2 linked regions of the Sus scrofa genome follow. The protein of the gene in region 2 interacts with the protein of the main gene of each other region in a pairwise test. Links are inferred from orthologs where the notes say so. Each region holds a gene or a part of one and is shown on either strand. Other genes may lie near its edges.

Region 1 (4,162 bases), on a different chromosome or scaffold from region 2:
GACATGATGGGGGAATTTTGACCACTGTGTGGATACTGGATATAGATGAGTCAATGTCTGCTTTTAGAAGGATGATGGTGCAGGTATGGTTATATGTTTCTAAAAGCATGTTCATTTAAAAATACACCCTTTTTTTGATAGATGAAAAAGTATTTTTTTATAGATGAAATGGTATTATATACATTCAAAATAATCCTTGAAAGAGTATTTTTAATAGCATTCTTAAATTTTTTTTTGAAAAAGTACTTTTTATTTTTAAAGTATTTTTTAATAAATGAAATCATATTATATATATTCAAAATAATCCTTGAGAGAGTAGGAGAAGACAGATGAAATATTTATTTAAATATAACACTAATTTGTGTCTTAGACTGGATGATGACTCACTACACCATTCTCTTTGCTTTTGCCTGTTTGAAATTTTCTATAATAAAATATTGGAAAAATATTTCTGAGTTTTCCAACTGGGACTCTATAAAAATCCTTAAACATACAGAAAAGTCGAGACTGTCATATTAGACGCCCTGCAGTCAATACTCAGGTTTAACGAATTAACATTCTACTATATTTACTTAATTTCTTTTAACTTTCCCTTTCCATCAAAGTTATCATTATAGTACAAAACTGGTGATCATTCTTATAGAGCATAATTTACACATGTATATGCATAAAACTATATGGTTTTATTTTATATTTATAAACTTAATATAAGAAGTAACATATTGTATCCTTTTGCTATTCATGTCTTTTTTTTTTTTTTTTTTTTTTTTTCCTTTTTAGGGCCTAGCATGCAGCATATGGCAGTTCCCAGGCTAGGGGTTGAATCAGAGCTGCAGCTGCTGGCCTACGCCACAGCCACAGCCATGCTGGATCTGGAGCTGCGTCTACAACCTAACCACAGCTCACAGCAACACTAGATCTTTACTTAGCCCACTGAGCGAGGCCAGGGATCAAACCTGCATTCTCATGGATACTAGTCAGGTTCATTACTGCTGAGCCACAATGGGAACTTCCTGTAATTCATGTCTTTAATCACATTTGGGAAGTTTTCAACCATTATTTCCTCAAATATTATCTCTGCCCTTTCTTTCTCTCTTTCTGGGACTCCCACAAAAAAACAAAAAAGCTTTTTGTCTTCTGCCTTTTGATACATTTTGACATATACAAGTTTTTATTTTATAGTCAAATCAATTATTTTTTTTTAAGAAATCCTTCTCTATCCCACAATGTAAAGTAAACATTCCTATAAAAGACTAGTTTCCAACTATGCTTTTTTACATTTAGATCTGTAAGCTATCTAGCAAGTATTTTTGATATGGTATGAAGTAGAGAGCAATTTTACTTTCATAACATTTTTTTCCCCAAGGCATGTGGAAATTCCCAGGCCAAGGAGTGACCCGCACCACAGCAGTAACTGGAGCCACTGCAGTGACAATCCTGGGTCCTTAACCTGCTCAGCCACAAGGGAACTCCTGCACTATTTTTGATAAACTAATTTGCGATATCTTGCATCTACTTTAGTTCACCTACATTCTTGGCTCTCTACTTTAATTCCATTGTTTATATCAAGCCAGGGATCTTAAGCCAAGAAGAGCGTTAAGTTTCACTGGAATTCTAAAACAGAAGATGCAACCAAAAAAGGTTAAGTACTCTTCTAAAAGCCATGGTTATTCAACAAATACTAAAGTAACCTCTAAAAAAATGAGCTGAAATTTTAAGCATTCTAAGAGAAGCTATGGAATCTTTCCTAAAGCTGTATCATTATATAATGAGCAGAAAATATTTTTTTCCAAGATGGTTTGATTAGTTACAGTCCTATTTGGAGGGAGGGGAATAAAATAAACCTTTCAATGTCTCTTAAAGGCCAAGAAAACTCCCATAAAAATCATAGACTTCAGAGTGGGAATGAACTGCAGAAATCACCTGATGTAAACTGCGTTTTTGAATGAGAAAACTGACAATCAAATGACTTGGCCAAGATCAGAAAGTCTGTTTAATGGCAGACCTGGGAATAAAAGTCAGATTACTGCACCTGTACAGTGTTCCTAGTGCTATTACCACACTGTTTCTATTGGACAGAGAGGGCACAGCAGGGGGGTGGGGGGCTTGCAGAGGAGGCAATGAGAGAAAGGACAGAAATGAAACAGCAGTGTGAAACTGAGGCAAGCACACATGAGACATATATTTAAAGGCTCATACATTTATGCATGAAGGAATGTGGAAACTATTTTTAATCCTAACTACAACTCTATCTTGGTAAGAATATACCAATAGCCTTAAAAATGACCTTGTTCTTTGCCCGACCAATTCCTCTACTCCAAAGAAATTACCCTAAAATTCAAATTAACTGAAAAAAAAAGGTAAAGCTATAAAATTCAAATACATTTATAGTAACCTTCCCTATGAAAGGAAAACATACATAAATAAAACAACAAAAGAAATCCCTATGCCCAAAAGGCATGCATAAAACTAAAAGGAAATACGTAAGACTTAATTTCTACTTCGTTAATTTTATTTTTATTAATTTAATTTTGTTCTTTCCCTAGCTTCCTAAGATAAATAACCATTCGTTTTCAGTCCTTTCAAAATATTTAAGGTTATAAATTTTGCTCTATGTATAACTTGACGTATGTATGGCAGGTTTGTACTAAAAAAAAAAACCAAAAAAACCCCCCACTTTTTCCCCATCACCTGCTAGATAACTCCAGTTGTAAATTACATGGAAGGAAATGAAAAGGATCACATTTTTTACAGAAAACAAGTCTCCACGGCAGCCTGTAAATTCCTTGCCCTAGTGCCCAGAAGTGCCAACAAAGGTCACACCAATTAACTACCTTTATTAAAATAGATTCTTTTTACAATCTTTACACTAACTCAATATCAAGTCTAACATTCTAGTTCTTACCAGAGACGTCTAATTTCCACATACCTCTGCTTTATATCACCAACACTACAAAGGCAGGAAATTGGCTAAATGTGAACAGAGGGTAGGAAGAAATTAAATGAAATAGCAATTTTCAGTTTGCAACAATCTATTTCTTAAAACCTCTATCCTGATAGTCTAAATAATTTTAATACCACTCACCTGTTGCAAACCCTGTGTCCCAGACACAGGTACTTGCATGATGGTTTGACCTTGTCCACCAGGAACAGCCTGGACCATGATGGGTTGGCCAGTTGATGTTATTAACTGACCTCCACTGACCTGTACCATTAATGGCTGCCCCTGGACCTAGAATAAAATTAAATAAGAACAATGAAATAACAAGACGCAAAATGGTTTTTTGTTTTTTTTTTTTCAAAAGACAATCACTGCAACTACCTGCTGCCTTGCTGGGGGGGGGAAAAGGTAGTAGAGACACTAAGAAAATAAGTCTCAAGTCTTCACCCACAAATTGTCTTCTTCAAAAATAATCTTTGACGAAATGCCAAGCCGAATACTTTAAGATCAGATATAACAGAGGATAAGCGGAGTCTTCGAGGGGCCTCAATAGATATAATGCATTTATCCCCAAATACAGGCTATACCCACGAGAAGTATTTCATCAAAACATCAAGGCTATTTCCCTTTTTAGATCAAGATCCAGGATAGTCTCTAGTAAAGGCTGGAGAGGGAGGGCTGATGGTAGGGATGGTGGTTGAGTGCAAATTCTAAATAATCTGGAAGGAGTAAACCAAACCACTCCAGGTTAGGTATGCAAGCAGCTGTGGAAGCCTGTATAGAATACCTTTCCTCCCTACCGTCTCTCAAGCATAAATGAAACACCTATCTTACCTTCTTTACCTCACTGAAAATTCTAGTCCTGTCGTTAAGAAGCTCACCGGTAAAAATGACTAGAAATATCGTTGGTTAGTTTGCAGTATCTGTGGTGGAATTTCTCACACCGAACCTTGCAATGTCTGCATAGTTATTTTAGCTGCAACAAATACGAAAATTATACAGAGCATTGCAATGCACCAAAAAACTCCCAACTTTCAAGTGCCAATAAGTAAATGGGCTGCTCTAGAAGCCAGGGAACTGTAAACGCTCTGGAACATCTTGCGTTCCAATGTAAAAATACCTAGCTGACTGAATGCATTCTGAAAGCAAAAAACCAAGCCACTTTAGAAGTGAACTGGAATGTTCAATAGAATAGCTAAAAGACCAAAACTTTCATTTTCA
Region 2 (5,361 bases):
GGAAGGAGTTAATTTCATAGGAACAAGTATCTTTCCCCATTCTATACCCCTCCATGGGAAGATCCCACTGACATCAAACCTCACCATTCTCACCCTATAAAGATCCTCTTTATTTATAGACTCCATAAAAGCTTTTCAAGTCTCCTCTTTCCCAAGAGAGCTCAGGAATGTCAGTCCACTGCCCCGGTTCTAGCCCTCCCTTCCCCCCACCCCCAACACGGCTAGGAGTCCCTGCTACCACGTGTCTGACCTCCTAAGCCTTTCCTAGGCAGTGTTAAGGCTCCCCCTGCTGTTCAAATGGGAGAACTTCATATCGTGTCCTCTAGCGTGCAGGGGAATCTTTCCAATTTTTTTAGCCCTTGATGGCCCCTAACCACTCAGTCCTTTACCTTGATTTTAACTTAAAGGCAAAATGAACCCTAAAATGAACTCATGCTATCAAGGACCAGAGTTGCAAGAGAATCTGTACAAGAAGGCTCCTCTTCCTCCAAACAGAGACAGTCCCAGAATGATAAAAATAACCAAGGAAAAAGGGTTGAGAAAAGAGAAGATACAAAGTTCTACTAAAAAGGAAATGACCTGGGGAAAAATAAATGGCACCTATCCAAGCCTGATCCATGTTGCAAGTCCCACCAGAAGCAGATAATCAGATACCATACTCTTGCCCACCCAACTCTCCCAGGATTGTTAGATACCTGAGGTAGCTCAGGTGAAGTCCGGGGCTCCTGTGGGTCTCCACCTCCACATCACTGCTGGGTTCTGAACAGGAGAAAAACAGAGACTTGGGTGTGAGAAGGGATTAGAACAGAGGACTATGGGGTGGTTACAAGAATAAAGTCTAATCAAATGGCAAGAGCTCTGGGAACTAAGATTTCCTTAGGGTACAAATTGAACTTCACCTGTCAAAGGCAGAAGCTATCAGTAAGAAGAGTATAATAAGGAACAGAACAAATTTGGACAGCCTAGGAGGATGAGTTGGAAAAAAACCAGTCCTGAGTGAACAAAGGGTGAGGGGCGTCCTGCCCCAAGATGAAGGAGGATGCGTGGATCGTAGCCTGGTCTAGGGTTGGCGTTAAGAACTCCGAATAGGGAGCCGTGCAAGGGCAGCGACTGACAGCGCAGTGGGATGGCAGATTAGACTTGGGGGCGGTGATTATGACGCTTCGAAACACCCCAGAGTTTGCGAAAAGTCCTAGGAGTTTCCCAAAGCAAGTCTTCTAGTCTGGCAGGTTCCTGTGCAGTACCGCCAGAGCTCAGCCGGGGACCAGGTGAACAGGACACTAGAGGAGCACGAAGTGAAGCGGGGAGGGGGACTCCAGGTGACATGAGGCTGAGGGGATGGGCAGGGCTGTGACGTCACGGAGCTGGCGTTTGCTCGCAAAGCGGGGTCAGTCAGAAAAGGGGTTCAGCCCTAGGACGTGAGGCAGAGGAAACTCAGTCCTGGGGGGCCTTGTGTAGCCCGGCCGAGCCCAGCCGCTGGGCCGGCCCCGACTCCTCCCCTCCGGGCGCGGCCTCCACCTAAGTCTCCCGCCTCCCTCACCTGCCGCCGCCGCCGTAGTTGCTGCTGCCGCCTGCCGGTCCTCTAGCTTCGACAAAGAGCCGCCTACCCTATCGCCCTTCCGCTTCCTGCGGAAGAAATGACGCTCTAGCCGCCAGACCCGGAACTATACTCTATGGCTCACGAAGCACTTGCGCGATTAGCCGCAGGAAGTTCCCAGCAGGCTTTGCGTGTCACCATGGCAACCGGACCCAACAGCACAGCAAAGAGCCCCAAGCGCGGGACGTAGCAAATGTAGCCCTTTCGGACGATGAGCGGAACTGTTTGCCCACACGCCGGCGAAATCAACTTGAAAGCGGTCCCTGACGTGTGTAACGCCCTTTCCAGGAAATAAGAGCCACCCAACACTCCAGCAACTCCCAGGGTCCAGAACCAGTCGGCCAGGGGCGGGGCCCGCACCCCCGACTCAGTGTAGATATTCTCTAAAGCGAGTACTCATACAGAACACCCCAGCCAATGAACCATAAAAACCACATCAACAGACAAGATGACTTTTTTTCTTCAGCTAAAACAGCAGATAATTTATTGTACACGTGTTACATTCAGCCACAACTGAGAACAGAACTAGTCCAGAAAGTCACAGGTCCAGGGCAAAAAACCAAAAGGGACCATTTTGATATGAGCAAGGTGGGTCTCAGAGTGGTCCAGGCGATCAGAACGGCGAAAAGTTGTTATAGATCCATTGAGACAAGTTCTAGACAGAAGGCATGCAGTCCAACAAATTGTACCAACGTCCCTGGCCTCTGGGATTTCGTTTCTGCTCCTGTGGCTTCCACGGTGTACAAGTTTACTTGGACCTCTGCCTCATCTTTCTTCTTTTGCGCTTCAGCCTGAAAACCAGACACGAGAATGCACCTCCTGCCCACAAACCCAATCTTCTTTCCCTCCCATCTAAAATGTGCATACCATACAAGGGGTGGGTAAAAAAAATCAACGAACACTACGGTTCTATCCTCTTGTGTCCAATCCCTGGTTTTGCCAAGTCAATGCTCATGTTTTTCATCTTAAGCTGTTTAGATTTCTAAACCAAATGTTCCTCCCAAGCTTCGCCCAAGGTGTGCTCCAGTTCCCCCACCCTGTACTTGCAGTCTCAGCATACCTGCGCATTCGCTTCTTCCTCCACTGTCAACCGATCACAACCAGAAGCAGAGAATAAAACGAGATATCATTAGTTGTAGCAACGAGTTTAGGGAGGAATATAAATAGTGTAATTTTTAACCAGACAGGTTTAACCACTTAGGAGGACTTAGTCGCAGTAATCACATCAACAACTTGGACTCCCACCCGGATCCCCGCTGTAAAACCCCAATCCCGCATGCGCTATCCTATTCCCGCTCTCCACCCCCACTTAACTCCCAGCTTCTGCTTCTCCCCAAACTATCCTCCCTGTCCCACCAGCTCTTGGGCACCCTTGAGAACCTAGCGATCCGAGAACGATGGCGGACTTCCCTTGCCTGGGTCTCCCCTGCAACTGCCAATTCTTAGAGCCTCAGCTCACTAACGGGGACTGCTTACCTTCGCTCTCATGGCGCGGAGGTTTCTACGGGTAAAGAAAAAAAGTCTACAGTTAGTTCGCTGTAATGATGGCAATCGCAGAGATCAGATGTTTACGGATTGTACTCGGAACCGGAGAGAGCCCAAACCGAGACTCACCTCAGAAGATGGCGCTAAGGCCGAGAGAGCGCTAGGGGCCCGCCTACGGATATTTAATGCAATGCTCGGTGTCGTCACTTCCGTGGTCTCGCCCTGCCCCCAGGGGCGGGGCTGCGGGAGGGTAATAACAATAGCTTTTGGCCCTTTGGGTTCGTGGTAAGTGTTTGAGTTGGGACAGTTCTCTTGGAAAATAGACTATTTTGAGTGTGAGTTACAAAATTTCCCTTCCCCAGGTTTTATTATAAGGATACTATATTATTTAAATATGAGCATGTATTTCCAGTAAGAGACCCAGAAGTGCAGAAAAGCGTAGGTTAGTGACTTCCGTCTTCCCTCTCATTGCTTCATGGGAGTTGCAGTTTCCCGGCGACACCCTCCATTTTACTGTGGATAGATGCAGAGTTTACAAAAACTGGTTTGCCTTATGTTCTGAACCTAAGTTGCTGCAGGGAGATTCTATTTCGGAACTTCCAAAGGTTCTAAGATTCCAGAACGTGGAAGGATGTAAAGTGGGGAGTCGAGAAAGCTTGTCATACTACAGAGACCTTTGGCACTATTTAAGATAGATCAACTCTTTTTCTAGCCAACTCCAACGCCTGAGGCAGAATGTCACTAGATTCCTGGCCACAAAGCATCTGGCTTAGAATATACTTAAGTGATTCTCCCTCTACACAACGTGAAGATCAAATCAAAGAACAGAAGGGAAGCTAGCTAGGATCGGCTAGACATTTCTTTAGGACAAGAATGGTATTTGATGGTAAGATAACTTGCCAGTCTCCTCGTATGATTGGGTCAGAAGCACCCAGAAAAAGACTCCCAAAGATTTGGTTACAGGAAACTTGAGTTAGGATGAAAGGGAACCTTTAATCATGCAGACTTCGCCTTATTCACTGTAAAATACAGTAAAGGCTTATTATAATCCTTTTTTTTTAGTGGTTTCCTTTTATAACCTTTCCCCTTTTTAGCTCTGGAAAAAAAAATATCTAAATTTAGGACCCTTGTTCCAAGTGCTTAGGTGGTTTTAGTATTATCTCCATCAGAATGTAAGTTTTTGGTTTTTTGGCCCCGCCCACTGCATGCAAAAGTTGAAGTTCCTAGGCCAGGCAGGCCACAGCAGCGACCTGAGCCACTGCAGTGACAACGCCAGATCCTTAACCCACTGCACCACCAGGGGAGCTCCTAGAATGGAATAAGTTTTTGAAAACAAAAATAAAAACCCTAAGAGTTCCTGCCCCAGTGCAGTGGGTTAAGAATCCAACAGCGGGAGTTCCTGTCGTGGCGCAGTGGTTAACGAATCCGAGTAGGAACCATGAGGTTGCGGGTTCGGTCCCTGCCCTTGCTCAGTGGGTTAACGATCCGGCGTTGCTGTGAGCTGTGGTGTAGGTCGCAGACGCAGCTCGGATCCTGCGTTGCTGTGGCTCTGGCGTAGGCTGGCAGCTACAGCTCCGATTAGACCCCTAGCCTTGGAACCTCCGTATGCTGCAGGAGCCGCCCAAGAAGTGGCAAAAAGACAAAAAAAAAAAAAAAAAAGCAACAGCAGATCAGGTTGCTGCAAAGATCCAGGTTCCATCCCTGGGTGAGGATTAAAGGATCCAGAATTGCTGCAGCTGTGGCTTGGAATCAATCCCTGGCCCAGGAATTTATATATGCCGCTGGTGCATGCATTAAAAAAAAAAAAAAGTTTCCTCTGTGGCACAGTGGGATTGGTGGCGTCTTGGGAGAGCTGGGATGCAGGTTCAAGCCCTGGCCCAGCACAAGGGATAAAGGATCCCGAGTTACAGCGGCTGTGGCTTGGGTCTTAGGTCTATAGTGCAGCTTGGATCTGATCCCTGGCCCAGGAACTCTGCATGCCCTGGGGCAGCCAAAAATGGGAAGAAAAACAAGACAAACAAACAAAACACCAGCAGAATTACTTTGTATCAAGTCCACTATGATTTCACCTGTTGCTTTCTAGTCTATAAGCTCTATATGGTTTTATTCAGTATAGTATCTTCAAATCCACAATGCCTCCAGTGTAAAATGCTCTAATAAATTGCCACCCAATCTCAGACTGGCCCTGAAAAATTGCCTAATTCTAAAGGCATTCTTCCTGGCTTCCTAAGTCAAGAAAAAACACTTGCATAGTTATTATTTTTTTCTTTCTGGCTGCA

The links. The genes of interacting proteins can lie anywhere in the genome.
Region 1: the proteins of ZC3H10 (region 2) and NFYA interact in binary tests that used the Homo sapiens proteins (3 or more experiments, as listed by UniProt). The two-hybrid records come from large-scale screens. The link is inferred for Sus scrofa from reciprocal best matches to the Homo sapiens genes ZC3H10 and NFYA.

The regions. Positions count from the first base shown.
Region 1 is NC_010449.5:36,396,053-36,400,214, reverse strand, and holds part of NFYA (nuclear transcription factor Y subunit alpha), read right to left. Parts: intron 3,233-4,162; coding exon 3,086-3,232; intron 1-3,085. UniProt on the Homo sapiens protein: Component of the sequence-specific heterotrimeric transcription factor (NF-Y) which specifically recognizes a 5'-CCAAT-3' box motif found in the promoters of its target genes.
Region 2 is NC_010447.5:21,504,467-21,509,827, reverse strand, and holds the start of ZC3H10 (zinc finger CCCH domain-containing protein 10), read right to left. Parts: upstream 3,319-5,361; 5' UTR 3,212-3,318; intron 3,099-3,211; 5' UTR 3,074-3,098; intron 2,681-3,073; 5' UTR 2,658-2,680; intron 2,389-2,657; 5' UTR 1,541-2,388; intron 760-1,540; 5' UTR 696-759; intron 1-695. UniProt on the Homo sapiens protein: Specific regulator of miRNA biogenesis. Binds, via the C3H1-type zinc finger domains, to the binding motif 5'-GCAGCGC-3' on microRNA pri-MIR143 and negatively regulates the processing to mature microRNA.